Canis lupus familiaris: one gene and its partners. The protein of the gene in region 3 interacts with the protein of the main gene of each other region in a biochemical or structural test. Links are inferred from orthologs where the notes say so. Each region holds a gene or a part of one and is shown on either strand. Other genes may lie near its edges. The genes, in order: PTPRN, DGKZ and SNTB2.

Evidence for each region.
Region 1: the proteins of SNTB2 (region 3) and PTPRN form a complex in vitro, tested with the Homo sapiens proteins (2 studies listed by BioGRID and IntAct). The link is inferred for Canis lupus familiaris from reciprocal best matches to the Homo sapiens genes SNTB2 and PTPRN.
Region 2: the proteins of SNTB2 (region 3) and DGKZ form a complex in vitro, tested with the Homo sapiens proteins (2 studies listed by BioGRID and IntAct, with this or other methods). The link is inferred for Canis lupus familiaris from reciprocal best matches to the Homo sapiens genes SNTB2 and DGKZ.

The regions. Positions count from the first base shown.
Region 1 is NC_049258.1:25,725,815-25,733,141, forward strand, and holds the start of PTPRN (receptor-type tyrosine-protein phosphatase-like N), read right to left. Parts: upstream 3,834-7,327; 5' UTR 3,709-3,833; coding exon 3,594-3,708; intron 2,142-3,593; coding exon 2,091-2,141; intron 1,873-2,090; coding exon 1,759-1,872; intron 1-1,758. UniProt on the Homo sapiens protein: Plays a role in vesicle-mediated secretory processes. Required for normal accumulation of secretory vesicles in hippocampus, pituitary and pancreatic islets.
Region 2 is NC_049239.1:43,527,716-43,535,042, reverse strand, and holds the start of DGKZ (diacylglycerol kinase zeta), read left to right. Parts: upstream 1-3,303; 5' UTR 3,304-3,454; exon of another isoform or gene 3,455-5,280; coding exon of another isoform or gene 5,281-5,309; intron 5,310-7,327. UniProt on the Homo sapiens protein: Diacylglycerol kinase that converts diacylglycerol/DAG into phosphatidic acid/phosphatidate/PA and regulates the respective levels of these two bioactive lipids.
Region 3 is NC_049226.1:81,041,061-81,048,387, forward strand, and holds the start of SNTB2 (beta-2-syntrophin), read right to left. Parts: upstream 3,577-7,327; 5' UTR 3,562-3,576; coding exon 2,982-3,561; intron 1-2,981. UniProt on the Homo sapiens protein: Adapter protein that binds to and probably organizes the subcellular localization of a variety of membrane proteins. May link various receptors to the actin cytoskeleton and the dystrophin glycoprotein complex.

The DNA of each region.
Region 1 (7,327 bases), on a different chromosome or scaffold from region 3:
TGTTCTATCAAAACTATTTTCATCAAAATCACCAGTAACTTCTGCATAGCTAACTAAAGCCAGTGGCCAATTCTCTGATCTCATCTTACTTCACCTACCATCATTATTTGACACTATTGATCACTCCTTCCTCTGTGGTACATTTCACGTGGCTTCTAGGACACTGAACATTCTTGTTTTTCCTCCTACCTCATTGTCTCCCTCTTCTCAGTCTACCTTGTTGGTTCTTCTCCTTGTCCTGGTCCTTTTATTATTATAATTCTCTAGGCTTCTTCTTCATATACACCAAATCCTTTGGTTATCTCACCTACCTTATGAGTTCACTTGCCATTAATATGCCAAAGAACTCCAAATTCATATCTCCACTCCAGAATCCTCCATCTCTTTTCAAAACCGAACTCATACTCTCAACTTCCACTTTACTTGAATAAACATCTTAAATTTAATATATTCAAAACTGAACACCTCCTCCTCCAAATTGATCCTTCTGTATAATTAATGACATCTCCATTAATCAATTATTCAGGCAATAAAACCTGTTGTCATTCTTGACACTTCCCTTTCTTTCACAGCATTTTCCAATATTTCATGATAACATGCTTACTACCTGTAAAATATATATAGAATTCTCTTATTCCTTTCTACCTCCCTGCAATCACCTGATCCATGCCACATTCATCTCTTACATGAGTTATTGTGGTAGCTTTTAATGACCTCCAGCTTCTACCCTTGACTCCCTTCCATCTATTCTTAACAGCAACAAGCTTGATCTTATTAAAGTAGAGGTGAGATTATGTATCCCTATGCTTAAAACATTGTCATGGGTTCCTCTTTGACTCAGAGTAAAGACAACATCCATCCATACATTCTCTTGTAGGTCCCTACAATGATCTGCATCCCTATTTCCCAATACCTATCTGCATCTTCCACTTTCCCTCTCTATCCCTCCTTTACAGCCAGACCATAGAGGCGTTCTCCATGGTATTCTTCAAACTCATGCTCCTGCTTTAGTAAAGCCTTTTGTTCTAGCTCTTTGATCAGCTTGAAACACTGCCCCCAATAACCTCCTGGAATACATCTCCACTTCCTTGATGTCTTTGTTCAAATTTCATAGTCTCAATAAGATCTATCTTGACCACTCAATTTGATACTGAAGCTTCTTACCCCACCATTTCTGACCCCTTTATCATGCTATGATATTTGTTTTTTTCCATGGCATTTATCACCTTATAACATACTATGTATTTTCTAATTTGTATATTGTATTCCCCTTATCTCCCAAAATGTAAGTCCCAGTAGACAGAGATCATTGTCTGTTTTATTCCCTGATACATCCCAAGCACCGAGAATTAAGCTTGCCACATAGTAAATACTCAACAAATAGTTGTTGAGTGAGTGATTTTGATGAGTGAGCTGTTCTGGCTGAGGACTCCAGAATTCATAATTGTGGAGCACTCAGACAGTTCCAGGGAATAGACTGGTCCTAAGGAGATGGACACTGGCTTCTTTCAGTGGCTCCTTCTGTGGAAGCCTCTAGACTCCTTCCAAGAGTCCAAGTGTGAATAGCCCATCTCTATGGTTCCACCCCGACTCCTGTCTTGTCCCCTTCTCCAGCAAGGTCTGGGAAGGTGAGGCTCTAGAAGTAGGTGTGATAACAATGTTTCATGAAGAGAAATTCTCAAGTCAGGTGGCCCCTCACTTCCCCACCCTTATCTAACCAAATTCCAGTGTCTCTCCTTCAGTGCAGCTAGACCTCACCTTGGGACATGAGTTGTCGGAGCACACTTTGTAAGCGCTGAAGAACTGGGGAGGTGACTTGCAAAAGGGGCCGGGCCTGCCCCACTCCCACCTGGCACTGTCCAAATAAGCCATCTAAGAGCACAAAAGTGGTGTCAGCAAGGAGCTTTCAAAGTCCAGGTTGCAAAAGGGCATTACTCTCTCCATCTCTATTGGCTTCAGAGAACTCTGTTCCTTCAAGCCATTCCTTCTTCACAAGCCTAGCACCCCTTCCCCCCTTCCAGGCCTCCCACACACACATCTTTCATGTTGTGTCCCCTGTCTTGTAAATCCTATGCCTGGTCCTCACTCACCCTGAATACAGACTTCAAGGTGAGAGCAGAGTCTGCGATCAAACAGACAGCCTGTAGAGGGAAAAGCAAGCAGAGGCTAAGACACCCACACACATAGAAGGGTAAGAGAATGGACAGGCTGGGAAAGGGGGAAACAGATGAGGCCCATTCTTTCATTCTCAGAAAGGCTTTAAGCTGGGAGGAGAGTAGGGAGGCCTAGAATTCTTAAGAGAAGGAAGCACAGGATCTGGCTTTGGATTTTAAGGATCTGAGAGTCTGGATCTTTTCCCTAAAAGCCTCAGTTGGCTTAACTGAGTGATGGGGAGAAGAAGCCTTGCAAGCGCAGGGGGTACTGAAGGATCGTATACTTCTATTGTCATAGAATTACTATGGGGGGGATTTTTGGCCAAATTCTGAGGAAAACGGGACTTTCCTCCCCAAATCTCCAAAAGCATTCTCACTATGATGGGCTGGGACTCCAACGAGATGGAAACCCAGGCACACCTTCCCTTCGTGTAGGAAAGGGGTAGGGGTGGGGTGTCTGGAAAGCAGCGCTCCCCACACCGTCCCTAGGTCAGCGGCCCGAGCCGCTGGCGCTGTCCGCGGTGCTGAAGCTCCGAGTCTGGCGCCGCCGAGGGCTAGCTAGCTCGGAAGCAGTTACCGGGGAGGGAAGGGTACTAGGGTCGGGAGCCTCCACGAGACCTGACCCCTCCGCCGTTCTAGACTTCACTTACCCCCCTACCAATCCACAGCGCCACAGGAAGTACCCCGCACTGGTCTCCAAGCCAGGTGGGGAAGGAGGGCGTCAGACGGGGAGGCTGCGCCCCTTCCCCCACGCGCCCCACCCCCCTCCCCCGGCCCGTGAGTCAGCGCTGACTGTCTCTGTCCGCTCAGATGTGAGTCAGCACCGGCCTGGCTGTGGGGAGGGGGCCCGGAAAGGACCCTTCTCTCTTCACCCTCCTTTGCCGCCTCCTCTAGCCGTCGTCCTCTTATTGGAGATGAGGTCGCAGCAATCTGCCTCTCGGGACTTAGAGGGAAACCCTGGCCCCTCCCTCGGTCTGATCCTCTCCTGGGAGCTGGGACCCCATGCTCAGTGGCCCCAACTCCTGCCCGAACGCCGGGGCTCCCTCTTCCTACCCCTACCTCCCACCCCCATCCCTCAGCGCCAATCACCACTTCTTTGGCGCCTCAGCGCCACTTGCTTCGCCCGTGGTCTTGCAGCCCGTCTCTAAATCCTTCCGTCCATAAGCACCCCCATTCCTCCTCCCAAACCCGCAATCCTTCCCCGAGCCTGCTTCTCCTCGGTCCCGCCCCCGTATTCCAGCCCCACCTCCAGGCCTACGCCCCTTTCCTCCCAGACGCCCTCTCGTCTTCCCCGTCTCCCAGCGCTTACCCCTGCCCGACTCCAGACACCTATTCCACCCGAGGTTCCTACCTTCGTGACACCTCTCCCCACCCCCCACCGAGTTACGCTCCCGGCCCCATCCTCCACCCCCCACCCCACCCCCCACGTTTCCTCCTGACCGTGGGCACTAATGGCGCTGCAGCCTCCCGGGCGGCTGCTCAGCAGCAGGAGGCAGAGGAGCAGCCGGAGCCCCCCGGAGCCCCCGGGACCCCCAGGCCGCCGCGGGCGCCGCATCCTTCCGGGCTCGGCGCGCTCGCTCCCCTGCCACAACCGCAGCGACGCCGGCCGGAGCCAGCCACAGGGGCCGAGGCGGGGCCTGCCGCTCCCCACCCACCGGCGAGGCGGGGTCTATACGCCCCTCTCGCGGCAACTCGGCCAACCCTGGGCGGGTGGTGACGACATCTCCACCCCCGGCTCTTACGCTTATTTGCGTCACACGTGGCGTAAGAGCTCTGTCTTACGGAGGTGCCTGCCCGCAGCTCTTCTCCCTCCACCGAAGAGTAGGCGCTGCAGTAGCATTCCCCCTTGGCCCCACCCCCTTTGGACACACATTTCTCGCCAAGGACTGCCACCTCTGTCACCCAGTCCCAGGGTTGGAGGAAAGGGCTGCAGCTGGGCAGAGGCCAGGAAATAGGAGTCGGTTAGTATAGACCTAGGATGAACATAAAAGTGAGTAGAGGAGGTACTGTTACGCATCTCAATGAATGGTACTGGTGTCATCCTTAACAGCAGGGATGGTCCTGCGTGTGTGCCTGGATTCCAAATCTAGCAATGCTACCTACTAGGAGTATAACTTTGGGGAAGTTGCTTAACTTCTCTGCACCCAAATCCCTAATCTGTAAAATAGATGTGCTGGGACACCTGGGTGGCTCAGTGATTGAGCGTCTGCCTTGGCCCAGGTCGCAATCCCAGGGTCCTGGGATGGAGTCCCACATCAGCCTCCGTCAGGGGAGCCTGCTTCTCTCTCTATCTATGTCTCTGCCTCTCTCTCTGTGTCTCTCATGAATAAATAAATAAAATCTAAAAAGAAAATAAAATAGATATGCTAATAATTCCTACCTCACAAGGTGGTTGTGGGGGATTACACGAGTTAAACTCATGTGGATCACATAGAACAAAGACTGCCCTGGCATATGCTAAACACATGATACATATTGGCTTTTGTTATTAGTCTTGACTCCTCTTTTAACCTCTCCTGCCTCAAGCCTATCAACAATCTTACGGTTTCTACCAGCAAATTATATCTCCCATCTGTCTATTTCTCTTTTCCTCCACTACTTTATCTAAACCACTGTGCTCTTTCATCATGAATATTGTAATTACAGTCTAATTAGTTAGACTGTAATTGTCTAACTAATCTTTTGTTTTAACTCCTTTCACCCAGAAAGCTAAGAAGTGAGCTTTCTAAAGTTCAAATTTGATCACTTTATTTTCTTGTTCGTCATTAAAAATTTTCCAAAATACAAGAAAAGATAGTGGTGCATACTAAATACTCATGTATTCATCAACTAGACTTAACAGTTATTTTTGTTTTGCCAAATTCGCTTCTTTTTAAAACTCAGTTATAGACGTCATGTTTGCCTTATAAACGTGTCAGTGTGCATCTCCAAGAAATAAGGATATTTTCCCACATAATCCAAATGCCATTGTGACTTCTAACAAAATTTACAGTAACTCTCTAATATCATTTAATGCTTAGTTCATATTCAAATTCTCAAATTGTTTCCAAAAATGCCCTTTCCATCTGTTTTGTTTAAAATAGGAGTAAAAAAAATAGGAATAAAAGGCCACCATTGCATGTGGTTATGTTTCTTAATTCTCTTTAAATTAACATAGGCCCCCCACCCCATTTTTGACATTGTCTTGTTGAATAGATGAGGTTAGTTTTTCTTTACAATTCCCCACCTTCTAAAATTTTCTGATTATTTCCTCATGATAGGTTTCCCTGTATTTCTCCAGTATCTATCCTGTGTATCCCCTGCATTTACTGTATGCTGGAAATTATTTTTTTAAGATTTTATTTATTTATTCATGAGAGACACAGAGAGAGGCAGAGACACAGGCAGAGGGAGAAGCAGGCTCCCTGCATGGAGCCTGATGCGGGACTCGATCACTCCCTGGGCCAAAGGCAGGTGCTAAACCACTGAGCCACCTAGGGATCCCCTGTATGCTAGATGTTATATCTAAAGTCTTGATTGGATCAGGTTAAAATTTTTTTAAACAAAATGCTTTATAGGTGATGTTTATGTCTCCAATTGTGTCATTTCAGGAACTGCATAATGTCTGCCTGTCCTACTATTAGTGATGCTAAAGTTGATCACTTGTTAAAGGTAAAGATCGATCACTGTATGTAAACTTATGTTTCCCTCTTATAACTAATATGTAATCCATGGGATGATATTTTGGCATTGTGAAAATATTTAGTTCCCATCAACTTTTCACCTAATGGATTTGCTGTTCCTTGATGGTTCTTGACTAAATTACTTCATTAGAGGGTCACAAAATAGTGATTTTTCTAATTCTATCATTCTTTTATTTTTTTTTAATTCTATCATTCTTTTAACGTTTGTTAGCTAATTTTATTGTATAAAGATGAACTTTCTTCATCAACTGGGTTACTTACTCTGAAATACAATTCCACCTTGGAAAGGTAGCATACATTCTAATTATTTTGGTTTTCATTTGCAGCATAATGAATTTAGGTATAGTAGTTACCTCCAACAGTGACAAAAATTTTTTTTAAGATTTTATTTATTCATGAGTGACACAGAGAGAGGCAGAGACATAGAGGGAGAAGCAGGCTCCCCGCAGGAAGCCTGATGTGGGACTCGATCCCAGGAGTATGGGATCACTCCCTGAGCCGAAGGCAGATGCTCAACTGCTGAGCCACCCAGGCATCCCACAAATAAATTTTTAAAAAATATTTTAACGACTTTTCTTGTTTGAGCATTACTATGGAAGTATGGATTTTCATATATTCAATGTGCATCAATCAATTGCAGTAATTATTTTTTTTTATATTCAAATTCCCTCAGAATAAGTCAGTGAAAGCTCCTTTAAATTGGCCCTAGTGTTGGGATCCCTGGGTGGCTCAGCGGTTTAGGGCCTGCCTTCAGCCCAGGGTGTGATGCTGGAGACCTGGGATCGAGTCCCACCTTCGGCTCCCTGTATGGAGTCTGCTTCTGCCTGTGCCTCTGCCTCTCTCTGTCTCTCATGAGTAAATAAATGTGATCTTTAAAAAAAAATAAAATAACTGTGATTTATACTGAACTCTTGACTTTGTACTCATATCTCTATTCTTATACTGAAAACTTTGGTTTCTTTTTTTTTTTTAAACTTTGGTTTCTTATAATCTAATATAATCACATATATGTGTAATCCTATAATATACATACAATTATTTACAAATAATGATACAAATATTACTCTACTAATAAAACAATAAAGACATTTAAGATGTGTGGTAGTTTATTTTGTCCTTGGAATATAATCCCTCAGAGTATAGCATTAAAATACTGCATTCTAAAGTTGTTTGAGGGGCAGCCCGGGCGGCTCGGCAGTTTAGCACTGCCTTTGGCCCAGAGTGTGATCCTGGGGACCCCGGATCGAGTCCCGCGTCAGGCTCCCTGCATGGAGCCTGTTTCTCCCCCTGCCTGTGTCTCTGCCTCTCTATCTATGTGTCTCTCATGAATAAATTAAAAATCTTAAAAAAAAAATAAAGTCATTTGAAATAGTTCTTTTGTTTGTGTAGGCATTTTTACCAATTTGATATATAACTCGGTTTGTCTGTTTTCAATATTAGGTTTTTTTTTTTACTTTATATATAATTTTATTTTTTGAATATGTAAAATAC
Region 2 (7,327 bases), on a different chromosome or scaffold from region 3:
TGAGTCAGTCAGTCATTCCACAGACGTTTCTCCAGGGCTTTGCAGGAGCCTCACCCTGAGACGAGCTGGAAGACTGGGGATGCTTCAGCAAGGAGCTCAGAGCGGGGGCCTGGGCCGACCCCCCAAGCCCCTGAGCCGCCCTTCCTCTCCCTCCTTGCCCACCACCCTCATGTTGCCAAGTCCTCCTGTCCAGGTTTCATAAGGAAAGCCATGGAAGCATGGAGTGGACCATGGCACCTAGCCCTGAAAGGGGGCTCCCTCATCACTCTTTGGGCTCTAGAGAGGAGAGGAGAAGAAGGTAGCTGCTAAAACAAAGGCTGTTGCCATCCCCTTGTGCCTGACAAAGAAAAGTGGCCTGGGCCGGCCTGGGCCCTGTGGTCAGTCCTTGGGTGCGGTGCCTGAGGTGGAGGAAGCCCATCTCTTCCCTTATGGCCCTCGCCCCTCCCCCACGGAATTCCCTTTTCCTTCCTTCTGAGCTGATCGGTGGTAAACACTGGACTCACTGCCAGGCACTGTGCTGGGCATGCCCAGATATACTGGACCTGGCCCCTGGTCCCCGGGAGCTTGTGGCCTGGTGGGTGGGTGGATGGGAGGAACAAGATATGTGCATTTGAAAGAATTAGGACTTCCAGGGGTCCAGCGGCAGAGAAACCAAAATGAGTGATGTGACCAAATGAGTGATGTGAGGTTACTAGTGAGAATGGTGAATTCTTGGTTGGGGCAGCTGTGAGCAGGTGGGGTTTTGATACGAGCTGGGAAGCAGCCAGTATTCCGGGCAGAAGGGATGCTGTGTGCAGGGACACAGTAGTGGGCTTGGGCAAGGCCACATTGGGGCACAGAGAATAGGATGGCTTGGTTAGAGCTCAGGGGTTTGTGTCTGGGCTGAGGAGGCTGGGTTAGTGCCACACTGCAGAAGCCACATTTGCCAGGCTGGAGGTTTTGGAATTCATTCTGAGCTAGTGGTTCCCAAAGTGGTCCTGGAGGTGCCCTAGACCCTTTCAGAGAATTAGTGTGGTCAGAACTATTGGCATAATAATACTTTCAGAGCCGCCCTGGTTCACGCCCTTTTCACCGTGTTAGTAGTGTTTGTAGTGACCGTGCAGAGGCAATGGTGGTGTGGAGCAGCTGGCCCTCTGACACAAACCAAGGCAGCGGCTCCAACACGAACTAGAAGCCGTGGTATTCTTCACACTCACCACAACAAAATGCAGTAAAATGTATTAATTTTATAAAGCCCAGACCCTCGAGTATACATCTTTTTAAATATTCTGTATGAAGAAATGTGAAATCTAAGTCAAGGCAGTTTTGCAGACTGTGATGGTTGTCTTGAAAAGCAGTCTTGGGCAGCCCTGGTGGCTCAGCGGTTTAGCGCCGCCTCCAGCCTGGGGCGTGATCTTGGAGACCCAGGATCGAGTCCCACGTTGGGCTCCCTGCGTGGAGCCTGCTTCTCTCTCTGCCTGTGTCTCTGCCTCTCTTTCTCTCTCTGTGTCTCTCATGAATAAATAAATTAACTCTTTAAAAAAAAAAAAAAGAAAGAAAGAAAAGCAGTCTTGCTGCTGGGTTGCAAGCTGTACTAGTTACTTTTTTTAAGGAACACCTTTTTAACTCGAAAGAACACCTGGCAGACAAAACTCTTCAGAGTTGGGTATTTGGCAGACATTTTCTCAAAAATGAATGAAGTGAGCTTGTCACTTCAAAACCAGTATCAGTATTTGTTGCTGATGATAAAATTTGAGCCTTTGAAAGGCAAGAATTAGAATTTTGAAAACCTCATATGCACTGTCTAGAGCCTGACAGCTTCCCAGGACTGGAAGACTTTTCTGGTGAGACCAATAGCGACGTTAGCAAGTATGACTTCTTGATTTTGTATAAGGAAATGTGTCAAGTTTGGAAGATCTGCATAACTCAGTAAAATATATTTTCCAATGCTTGATATTACAAAATTCACAATGCAAGATAGATGAGTGAAAAGTTCATTAATATGGTTTCAGATTCCATATAGCCACTAACCTTTAAGAAACTACCACTTGTCACATTTTGATGAAGTAGCAAAGAAGAACATCCATAATTGCCTAAAAAGGCTATTAAAATACTCTTCTTCTAACTACATGTCAATGTGAGGCAGAATTTTCTTCACATACTCAACCAAAACAACATATCACAACAGATTGACTGCAGAGGCAGATAGGAGAATCCAGCTGTCTTCTATTAAACCAGAAATTAAAGAGATTTGCAAAAATTAAAACAATGCTACTCTTCTACCTAATTTTTTTTTTTTTTAGGAAATACAGCTTTTTAATTTTATTTTTATTTTTTTTTATTTTTTATTTTTTTGGAAATACAACTTTTTAAAAAAATAAAAGTATGTCTGTATGTTAACATAAATGAGTTTATTGTTTTTAGATAAGTTAATATTTTTTAAATCTCTCAGTTTTAATTTGTAATATGGTAAATATTACTAGTTCTGACCCCCGTAAACAAAACCTTTTGGGATCTTCAGTAGTTTTTAAGAGTGTAAAGGGGCCCTGGGAGTTTGAGAGCTACCACACTTGACCCTGGAGAGCCAGGAGTGTAAGCTGGAGGAAGGGGGTGGCATTCTGGACAGGATGGGTGTGACATGAGCTGACCTCTCCGGGACACAAGCCAGGGCAGCTCTGACAGACCTCTCTTGGCAGGGTGGGGAGACCCAGGCTGGATAGTCCCAGCTCAGCCACTTCTGGGCTCCGGCAGTCACAAGCCTCCATGAGCCTCAGCTGCTTGTGGTTTAGCTGGGACGGTAATGCCACCCGTGCAGGAGAATTATAAGCCTTCCGTGTGATAATGCTTGTGAAAAAGTGCTTTGTAAGTTGTGAAAGACTCAACAGATATTTGTTTTTGTGGTTACTTTGATGGGAGCCAGTGCTTAGCTGTCTCAGACGCTTTCCCCCAACCCCAGAACACCTGTCCAGTGGGTAGGAGAGGACATTCGATGGCCAGAAAGGGTGCGATCCACCCCCCACTTCTACCTCCCCAGACCTTCTCTGGGAGCCAAGGCAGGGGCCGAGTGGCTCTACCGGGTGCCAGGTGGAGGGGAGGCTACTGGGCTATTGCTCAGGCTGGCTCTGGGGACTTTGGGAAGAGAAGCCAGGAGGCAGGACTGGTGCGCGTGTGCCCGCCCGCCCACCGGCCGCCTGCTTGCTGCAGGGCCTGGAGCTGCCGCTGGGAGAGGAAGTGCAGTTGGTTACCAATCGGGTTATTTTCATAACGGCTGTCTCAGGCTGGGGGGAGGAGGGTGACGAGGGGGAGGGGGCAGGGGAGCAGCCACAGCGGCTCTGCTCACTCTCCAAACTAGGACTTGCTCCGCCAGAGGCCGGCAGCCTGGAGCTGGAGGCAGAACCGGGGCTACCTGCCCACAGGGACCCCAGGCCCCACCCGTTCGCCCACCTCCTGCCCGCCACCCTGCCTTCCAGATCAGGTCAAAGGGGACTACCCCCCAACCCTTCCTTGCCTTCTGCTTCCTCCTTCCTGTATCTGTCTGGGTGGGTCTGGGGAGGAACGGATCATGGTGGGCCCAGGCACCACCATTCCTGGATGAGGCTCTGAAGCTGATGGAAAAGGGAAGGGAAGGGGTAGGCTAGGCTCCTGCCCCAGCCAGACCCTGTTGAGGTCAACATTACTGGCCTGCGGCCGCCTTTCCTATGCAACCCTGGCTCACCTGCTCCCTGCTGCGCGTTTGTTTTGTTTTGTTTGGGGCAGGCTTCTCTTAGCAAGTAAAGACCTCGGGAGAGCCTGGACCCTGTCTCACCAGCACCCTCCCCCCCCCACAGGCCTGCCTCCACACTGTCTCCACCTCCTTCCCTCTGACCTTCGGGCTGTGGGAGCAGAGCACCCAGAGGTGGCTTCTGACCAGTAGCCCCTGGGGAGGCCTCTCCAGACCCTCACTCTGGGGCCACTATGCACCATTCCCAGCCTCCCTGAGGAGATGGGCACATGGGGCCCTGCTCACAAGGGGGGATGAGAACCCTGGCCAGATCCCATGGGGTGTCCTGTGCAGGCACCTCTGGGGGCCAGGCCTGCTATGAGGGGCAGAGGGCATTTCTTACTGTATGAGCAGATACCCAGGTGGCTCTCGCTGCCAGACTCTGTTCTTCATGTGGTGGGTGGTGGCTACCCCAGGGACTCCTGCTTCCCTTTCTAGGTTCCCACTCCCACCACAGGCAGAGACAAAAACCCCAGGCACGATCCACACACCCTTGTGTCTGCTGTGGGTGTAGGCTCTGCCATGCCCCTACCCTCTGCCAGGTATCATCAAGTACTTTATACCATCATCTCATCAGAACCTCCCTTATGCCAACCTTCTCAACTGGGTAGTATCACCCCATTTTGCCGATGAGAAAGTTGAGGATCAGAAAGGTTAGTTGATCCAACCGGGAAAGCAATGGGAGGATTCCAAAGCCCTAGGGCTTTTCCACTTGAAACTAACATAGGGAGGGAGATAGTCTAGGCTGGGCGGCTGGGAGTCTGGTTCTCTCGAGCCGGTAGCCAACGAAGCTGGGTCGTTGACACCCGCTCACCCACTGGCAGCTGCCCGTAGCCACACTCGCTGCTGTTCATCAAAGGCACATGGCCGGATGTGTGTCCCTCCTATAGCATCCTTTGTCTTCCCCAGGCTCTCAACAGCCAGCTGGAACCCTTGAATCCTTTCCCATCCTGTTCCCTTTGGGTGTGACAAGCTTCCCTCGGGTTCCCCGCAGAAGGCTCAGAGGCAGCCATTTTGCTGTGCTATTGGTGTCAGAACCCTGCGGGGTCTCCTCCAGTGACCTTTACATGTAGTGTGTGGTATGCTGAAGATAGATGGCAGAGCACGAATCGAGAAGACACTGCTGCTTAGAGCTGTGCTGCGGGGAAAGGCTGGGACACGCCTGAGGCCAAGTGGGGCTTCTCAGAGGACCCAGGAGAAGCCTCAGCAGAGATAGGAAGTCTGGAATCAGGCTATTGCTGACCAGAGGACAGAGGTTTCTATGGAGACCAGAGGAGCAGGAAGCATGGGGCCTGGGGGGAGGAGGCATTGGGAACATAGAGGCATGGGTGCTGTGCAGGACAACTTGTCATAAAATATCAGCTCAGCCAGTCTCGTAGTCTCCTTGGACAAACAAGATGACAGGCCCATGTGGGGACGGCTTTGTACATGGTCGCACGACAGTGGCCTGGCTAGCCTGCTTTGCTCCCCACTCAAAGTGACTGCACCGCCAGGCAGCTGATGAGACTCCTGGACGGTTGGACTTGGGGCTCCCCGGCAGCATGTGGGCTGGAGCCCTATGGAAGCACCCGTAAGCTGCCACCCTGTTGTGAGGCGGCCCCTGCCTCCTGGCCCCACTCATCAGTGTGGGTCTGGGCCCTGGCCACTGCCCCAGACCTCATCGCCGCTCACAGAGTGCCTGCAGCACCTCCCCCCTACTTACTGTGGCCTTTTGTTTTCTGGGTGACACTAGCATCAGGCGGTGTGTGTCCGGGTGACTAATCTCCTCCAGGCTGGGCAGCTGTCACAGGGCAGCCTGACCAGACGGGCGGGGAAAGCTGACACCCTGGGGGAGTGCTGGCAAGCCAGTGCCCAGGCAGCAGTGGGCAGCTGGGCCTTCAGGCTTCTTTTCCTGGGTACAGAGCAGACCAGAGTCAGGCAGGCCTGGGTTCAGGTCCCAGTCCTGCCACCGAGCGGCCTTGTGACGTGGGGCATGTACTGCACCTATTCAAGCCTCGTCTCTGTAGTGGAGCCACTGATCCTGCGTGCCTCACAGACTTGTGGTGGGGATCAAGTGAGATGATAAATGAAAGTACTTGCTTAGGGCCTTGTCCATTGTAGGTATTCAAGCAGTTCAGCGGCCATTGTTGCTCTTATCAAGGCTCCCCTTCCTGCCCCGGCCCACCTGAGTCTCAGCCCCATTGCCCAAAAAGAAAGATCCTACTCTCCGCTGAGCTTCTAGAGTACAAACTTTGCCTTCACGCAGACTTGGGTTCCGTCATCGGCTCCCCATTGGCTAGCTGTGGACTTCAGGCAGCTTACCTCCTTGTGTCCCAGCTTCCCATCAGGAACATGGCATGATGCAGGGCCTATTTTTTCATGTTGCTCTGGTTTATAAAATGATAACGTGTGTTTATAAAGGGCTTAGCAGAGTGCCTGGCCCATGGAGGGCACTCCGTAAACGTTAGCTCTGGCGATAGTGATTTTTGTAGCTAGCCAAGAGCTCTCTGCCCACGCCCGTTCACTTGCCCTCAGAGCTTAACTCCTGCCCTTCTTCCTGTCGGAGGAGGGACTGTAACAGGCAGAGACCAAGAAGAGCCAGGCAGTCTCGAACACTGGTTCCCCAGGCACACTGCCTCCGTTGTTCCCTGGTCACAGGAGCTCAGACACCTTGGCCCTATGTGCCTCTCCCTAAATACCTCTGTACCCATCCAGGGCTTCAGCCTGGCATTGCTTGCCTGGACTCACAGGGTAGTAGCAGATTAAAGAGTGGGTGAGTGGGTGATGGGAGAAACAGGCAGTCGGCACGTAGCTGTGGGCCTGGGTCCTCGAGCCCTGCATCCACCACCGTTTGTCCAAGGCTCCCACCCACCATGCCTGACTTCCTCTAGGCCCTTAGCAGGTGGCCGTATGTCTCTTGCTGGCCCCAGGCAGATGTCCCATGGCTGTGACTTGGACCTCTCTGTGGCTGCCAGGGCCCAAGAGATCACTTGGTGGTGGGATACAGGCCCTGGGCATTCTGGAGGCATCCTCCCTACCCCTGCCCCAAGTATACCTGGCTTCCTGCCCTTCCCCCACTGTTTGGAAGAAGTGAGGGTACAGTAATCCCAGCAGCCTGTAAGAAGGGGCAGCCAGGAGTAGATGAGCTGGCGAAGGAGGCTAAGAATGGGTCAAGGGAGGGTGGTTTGAGTAAGGATAGTCCCCCACAGGAGGGAACTCTGGGTATAGAGTTGGAGCTTCTAGCATTGGTCCCCAGGACACAGTGCAGTTCACAGGCTCCCTTGGCAGCAGGGCTGGAAGGGTTTTCAGACCTCACCCGTCACCTGGTACTTGCACACATGGGAGATCCGTCCTCGGCGTCTCCAGAAAGGTGAGACAGAGCAGTCTAACATCAGGAAAGGGCCTGCTTTTAGCCCCTCAGAGATAGAGATGCACACCCAGAACACACCTGAAGGCTTTCCTCTTGGCTCAGGCCTCTCATAGCTTCCCATGTAGAGTCCCCATGGTTGAGGACTGGGGTGGCTCTCTCCCTGTATAACTCCCCCAGTCTGAGGGCGTTGGTCACCAGAGCCCTTTGATCCCTAAGTCAGATCTTCCCCTTGTCTGGTG
Region 3 (7,327 bases):
ACCTCTGACCCCACCAACGCGGGGCAGGGAACCAAGATCTCTATAGATCTCTCCTTCCTTTGTGCCGTGTCCTCTCCAGAGTTCTATTATAAAATCACTTTTAGCCCTTTGTTATAGTTATTTCTCATCTCTCTCTTATCTCAACTCCAAACTTCCTGAAGGCAGGAACCAGGTATCTTCAAGTGCCTCTAGCACATGGTAGAGTTGAGTAAACATTTGCTGTATGAACGAATAATCCCAACAAATTCATGAGATAAAAAGAAACCCTTTAGCTCAGTTCCCTAACCACAAGCAACCAGAGACTACTGCTTTCTTTTGCTTGGGGGTGGCCAGGGCATGCCTGAAATTCCCTGCCCACATCACAAAAGAGCATCACTGTGCTACTAGGGCAGCTTTTCAAGTTCTGAGACATCTAATGGAGGTTCCAAAACTTTAAGGGCTAAGCATAAAATCTATCTTTTAGCAGTGGTCTACCTGGATGGAACACCAGCTCTTGATTTTAAAATAACGTTTGACTAGTTCAACTAAGTCACTGTTATCACATATTCTAAGTTATTTTATTTTATTTTTATCTCTTTGGCTTGAAAGTGTCATTTCGGGCAGCCCAGGTGGCTCAGCAGTTTAGCGCCACCTTTAGCCCAGGACCTGATCCTGGAGACCCGGAATCGAGTCCCATGTCGGGCCCCCTGCATGGAGCCTGCTTCTTCCTCTGCCTGTGTATCTGCCTGCCTCTCTCCCTCTCTCCCATGAATAAATAAATAAAATATATTTTTTTAAAAAGTGTAATTTCATATTTCCCCACACATTTAAGGACAAAAACTGCTTGTCATTTACAAAAATAGGAAAATAAAATAGAACCTGTGTGTTAGGTAAAAAGGCACTCAATAAATATGTTATTATGCTGCTATTTGCAAAGCCTCCTCCTAAAAGCCCAAGTGGCCTATTTTAGACTAATGAATACTGGGAAACATTTACCAGATGATCTTCATTTAATTGGTATGAATACCAGGTTCAAAATATAGCTAAACAAGAAACTGGGTTGTTAAAAAATATAGCATGCAAAGAGCTGAAATGTCTGCCCATTACCGCCTAGTACTACATAAATAGTACTACTTCAATATTCTGGTTCTAAGAATTTATAACCAAATGCTTAGCTAGACCAACTTCAAGGTGCACATTTAAGGTTACAATTTTTTTTTTAAGATTTATTTACTTATTTATGAGAGACACGGAGAGAGAGGCAGAGACACTGACAGAGGGAGAAGCAGGCTCCAGGCAAGGAGCCCGATGTGGGACTCGATCCCAGGACCCCAGGATCATGCCCTGAGCCAAAGGCAGACACTCAACAGCTGAGCCACCCAGGTGTCCCTGGTTACAATTTTTTTTATATACTCACTGCCTATGCCACAGTCTATAATTTTGCTCCATTTATTAACACTAATTTCGGAGCAGTGTCTGGCCCCACCCATGAGATATAAATAAGACTTATAAATAGGATTATCATAGAGATGGGACACTGGAATTTCACACTCAGAGCACATGCAAACAAACTAACATTTTTCCAAATATTTACAACCCGATTTGGAAAAAAAGTGAAAAATCACTCTGCCAAGCTGGACTTCTGACCTCTCAGTTTCATGACTGGTCTCTGCCTACCCTTCTTCCCCACCCATTCCCTTCTGCTCTTCCTCTGCCAGGAATACCCTCCTGACTCATCTCTGTCTATGTCCATTACTTCCTTAGAGACCTGGCTCAGGATTCAGCTCCTTGAAAAAGGCCTCCCTGACTAATCCCGATTGCCACTACTTCCTAACTTTGCATTCCCTTGGCATTTATATATAGTTTGCATTACATAATCACTTAACTTAAAGTCGTTTTGCATTTTTCCATCACGTCCCCAACTAGGGACCAAAAAGAGAACCATTATGCTTTACATCCTCTTCTATACATCCAGTAATAAATGCCTGCTCCTCGAATGACTGAATCACCAGTGAGAGAAAGGCAACTGCTCACAAATCTCTGAAGTAAGCAACTGGCTTTTCCGATCACACTTAAAACACTCGGTCACCTCCAACAAGCGCGAGCACTTTCACGGAAATGAGATTTACTCTTGCCTTCCATAAATTCATCACAACAGATCCAGGTTACGGATCACGTACGTACTTAAAGTAAAAAATAATAGTGGCTGTTCAAACATATCTTGAGATGTACCATTTCAGGCTTCATTTAAAGCCTTGCAGCAGCAAGTCTCTGGAGGGTAGGAAGCTGGCACTAGTCTCTTGCAAAAGGGGCAAAAACTCTCGCTGGCAGTAAATGTTCAAACACGTGAGCCTCGACTGTTAAACAAGGCTCATTAGCCACCGAAACTTGCTGTTTCAGCTCTCTGCTTCGACCAAGTGCTATGATCTCTTTTGGTTACTGTCGAGCGGGGCCAATGATGGGTTAAATCCCTATAAATTAACCAGCAGTTTGATTTGCCCAAGCTCACCCCTGGCGTCGGTGGGGGTGGGTTGTTTTTTTTTTGTTTTTTTTTTTTAAACAGACCCCGTCGCGGGGGAGAGCCAGCTGTGAGCAGAAGGCGCCACCCCGGCACCTCTCGGGAGGCACACGGAGCCCTCCGCGGCCCCGGCGAGCCCCCTCCGAGCCCCCTCCGGGCCCCCTCCGGTCCTTAGTGTCAGCTTATCCTGCAGAGGCGGGGCTTCAAGCGCCGGGGCTTTGTACTAAATCTCAACCGAGTCCCGCCTGGGGACTGCAAGCCAACTTTTCCTTGCAAGGAGCATCAGCTTTTCCACACGCAAAGCCCCAGGAAGCGGGGTCCGGGGGGAGCCGGGGAACGGCGCGGGGAAGCGGAGGACGCGGAGGGGGAGGGAACGGGCTCCCCGCGAAGGGGCCGGAGGGCAGGGACCGAGTGCGCGCCGCCCGCCCCGCCCCGCCCCGCGCCGCCCGCCGCCCGCCCCGCGCCGCCCGCCGGCCCCGCTCACCCTCCAGCAGCACCTCCTTGCCCGCGCGCTTCAGCGCCTGCACGGCCTGGTCGTGGGTGGCCTGGCGCAGGTCGGTGCCGTTCACCGACAGGATGGCGTCGCCCAGCCGCAGCGCCCGGCTCTGGTCGGCCGCCAGCCCCGGGAAGATCTTGGAGATGAGGATCGGCATCCGGTTCTCGCGGCCGCCCTTGATGCTGATGCCCAGGCCGCCCGCCTCCTGCTTCACTACCCGCACCCGGCGCACGGGCGGCGACGCGCCCGCCTCGCCCGCCGGGCCCCGCGGAGGCGCGGGCGGGCTCGGGGGCCCCAGGCCGCGGCTGGGGCTCCCGGGCAGCGAGTCGCCGGCGCCGCCGCCGTTCGGGAGGCCGTTGAAGGCGGCCGCCGCCGGCCCCAGGGCCGCCTCGGGCTCGGCCGCCGCAGCGTCGCCCGTGAGGCTGAGGCTCTCCCCGCTGAGCTCGGCCACCACCCGGACCCAGCGCTCCCGCAGGAGCAGCTCCACCAGCCCCGCTTTGGTGGCCCGCGTCCACACCGCCATGGCCGGCCCCGCTCCCGCCGCCGCGGCCGCCGCAGATACCCTCATTCCAGTCGGGCAGCCTCGGCGCTTCCCCCTTCCCGCCCGAGGGGGCGGGGCCGGCCGCTCCCCCCGCGGCGTTTCATTATTCATGAGGCGCCACGCCCACCGGCCGGGGCGGGGCCGGCGGGCGGGGCGGGGCCGGCGGGCGGGGCCGGCGGGCGGGGCGGCTTCCGGGAGGCGGACTCGGGCGCTGACGCGGTGCCTGAAGCTCGCTGGACCGACGCGCGGGGCTCCGGCCGCTCTTCTCCCCGCGTTCGCCTCCGGAGGCCACCCCCGAAAGCCCTGCCTGACCTCAGCCGCGCAGCTCACGGGAGCAGCCGCCACAGGGAGAGTAGAATCAGCTTCAGAAGCGCTTTGCTGGGCCGCCCGGGCGGCTCACTGGTTGAGCATCTCTCCATCTGTCCTCATACCTGGTCCTGGAATCGGGTCTCGCTTCGGGTTCCCCGCGGGGAGCCTGCTTCTCCCTCGGCCTGTGTGTTTGTCTCTCTCTGTGTCTTAGGAGTAAATACATAAAATTTTTAAAAAGAGGAAAAAAAAAAAAGAGCACTTTGCAAGCCTGCAAGACTTGGTTGCACGTTTACTCTTGCCTCGGTTGGTTCATGATGTATTTACTGAGCGCTCAGCCCCGAGCTCCTTTTGATGTCTGGAGATGAGCTGCATAAAACATACCACAGTTAAGAGCTGGCGGTCTAGTGGGGGAGGAGAAAGGAGAACCAACCAACCCCGGGTGATACGATGTGGTTAAGTGACATGTAGAAAACACCCTGAGAGCCAGTAAAAGAAACATCTGGTTGGGCCTGGGGTCAGCTTCACAGAGGTGACACTGGAAGCTGAGTAGGTGGAGCAGAGAGAATTGCATAAGCAAAGGTCCAGAGACATGAATACAGCATTTGTTACTCTGCTTTGTAATCACCTGTTTACTTCCCGGGAGTGAGAGAGGGGACCATTTCTTCTTCAGCCCTGCAGCCACAATAGGGAGGCCTCAAAGATATTTACAGAACGATGGTTACCTAGGAGGATGCAAGAATTCAATGTGAGCAGAGCACAGGGTCTGTGGAGGTGGAAAGGAGTGTGAAAACCCTCATATAATCAAATATGGAAGAGTTTGGACTTGGATTTGATTTTTTTTTTTTTATGATAGTCACAGAGAGAGAGAGAGAGAGGCAGAGACACAGGCAGAGGGAGGAGCAGGCTCCATGCACTGGGAGCCTGACGTGGGATTCGATCCCGGGTCTCCAGGATCGCGCCCTGGGCCAAAGGCAGGCGCCAAACCGCTGCGCCACCCAGGGATCCCTGGACTTGGATTTGTAGATCTTTCTCATCCTGGAGGTCATGGCCTGCTGTTGGGGCAAATGCTGAGGGGTATCCCCAGAAATCATATGCACACCACAGAACCTGTGGTGGCTTCTATCCAAAGGCATGAGTGTTGCAATCCACCCACTTCCAGCTTCATGGGCTGGGAGAGCTGAGGAAACTGAGGCCCAGACTACCAAAGAGTCTATCCTAAAGTCCACAATGAGGAAGGAAAAAAACTCAGGTCTTCCAGCCTCCTGGTCTAGGGCTTTACTATACACTCCAGACCTCAAAAATGAGGATCCGGGGTGCCTGGGTGGCTCAGTGGTTGAGCATCTGCCTTTGGCTCGGGTCATGATCCCAGAATCCTGGGATCGAGTCCCACATTAGGCTCCCCTCAGGGAGCCTGCTTCTCTCTCGGCCTATCTCTCTCTCTCTGCCTCTCTATCTCTCATGAATAAATAAAACCTTAAAAAAAAAAAAAAACATGCCATCTAATTTTCCTTTGGCAGTAAGAGTGAAATCCCCATGTTTTCACTTGTGGGGAGCGGGGCTGCAAGCAGAGGGAATGTGCACCAGTTCCCATAAAAGGGTCTGTATACCTGCTTGCTCATGAAGTACATGTTGAAGCTTGTGAGCCATGTCCATGCACTTCTCTGTGAATGCACATTCATGTGTGGGCAGGAACATTCAAAGAGCCTCCTATACTAGGAGTTAAAACAATAAAAATGGAGACTGGAAAGTACCCAGAGCCCAAATGAAGAAACAATTGAAAATGAGAAAAGTTCTTACCAAAAAAATCATTACAGCAGAATCTTCTTTGCAATTAGTGGAGCAGGATTTTCCAAGCTGCAAATGTCAGCAGAAGCTCAACCCTCCTATCCTCTCCTAAATCAATTGCAATGGGGCCAGTTCCCTGTTCCAGCAGGTCCCAATGTGCCCAAGTGCATTTGCAGTCACAGACATTTCTGGCTTTGCTCCAGCTGAGCCGTGAGCCCCCAGAGGCCTGAGGTATGTGAAATTTCTGCTTATTAAAGAATACTTGGCAGCTGATTCCTTGGAGTATAAGCATTATTTTGAACACTTTTACGTCCACGATCATCCAGAGGTTGGGCACTCGACAACACCTTTGTTAGCAAAAGGGAAGTGCTGGAAATTCTTCCCAAAAGTATCAAGACCTTTTGGTCAACAGAGTTGGAGGAAGTCATAGATCTTCCAACTAAATAGTAGGGGCACTTATATAAGATAGTAAGTTTAAAAAAAAATAAGATAGTAAGTTATGTGATAAAATATTTAATTCTAGGAGGAGAGAAGGTAATGGAGATTGCTATTTGGGTTACTTGGGAGTTTTTACTTAAAAAATTATTTTAAAATATATCCCTGAAAAATTCCCAATTTATTGAGCTGTTTTGGTCCTCCATCAGAATTTAATTTTCAATGTCCTCTCCCATCACTGTGTTCAGATTAACCATGTTCCTCTAGTTGGTGTTCCCCGATGAGGCCATCCAAACACCTCCTGCTCCTCTCAACTACTTTCCCACATGGCAAGATCTCATCCTCGGTTTCCCTGTCTACCCAATATGCTGGGATTTTTCCTTTGAACAACTTTATTCTTTGCCTGCCTGTTTTGCCTAAGTAGGTTATAAAATACAGGAGGGCAAGGACCACCCATTGACTCCTTTTCAATCCCCACTATTCCAAAAATATTGCCTTGCTGAGAAGGAACTCATTAAACATGTGATTAATTGAAATTCAGTGCCTCCTGTGCTGTAGTCATTTCACATAATCCCTCTGAAGGTTACTGGTTCCTTGCAGAGTGAAAATTACCATCTAGGAAATCTCAAGTAGTCAGTGGAAATCTATGTACTGTGGATAATGAAATCTGAAATAAAAAGCGTACACATCTGTTACCATGGTTTCTTAGGGACAGAGAGACTAGCCTAGATAATTCTCTAAACAGGCATGTTATTTTATCTACCTCCAAAAAAGAAAATGGCTGAGATAATTCCTAATAACCTTTCATTCCTCTCACCTTTCAGTATGTATTCTCTGCTCAAGCTATTTTCTTTTTTTTTTTTAAAGGATTATCTCTCTGATTGCCTTTTTTTTTAAAAATTTTTTATTTATTTATGATAGTCAGAGAGAGAGAGAGAGAGAGAGAGAGAGAGAGGCAGAGACACAGGCAGAGGGAGAAGCAGGCTCCATGCACCGGGAGCCCGACGTGGGATTCGATCCGGGGTCTCCAGGATCGCGCCCTGGGCCAAAGGCAGGCGCCAAACCGCTGCGCCACCCAGGGATCCCTCAAGCTATTTTCTTATTGTTTCTCAGAACAGGGAAGGGATCACGGCTACTTTATTTTTTATTTTATTTATTTTTTATTTTTTATTTTTTTTAAAGATGTATTTATTTTTTTTTTAAAGATTGATTTATTCATTTGAGGGAGAGAGAGTCTGCAAATGTGGGTGAGAGGGAGAGACAG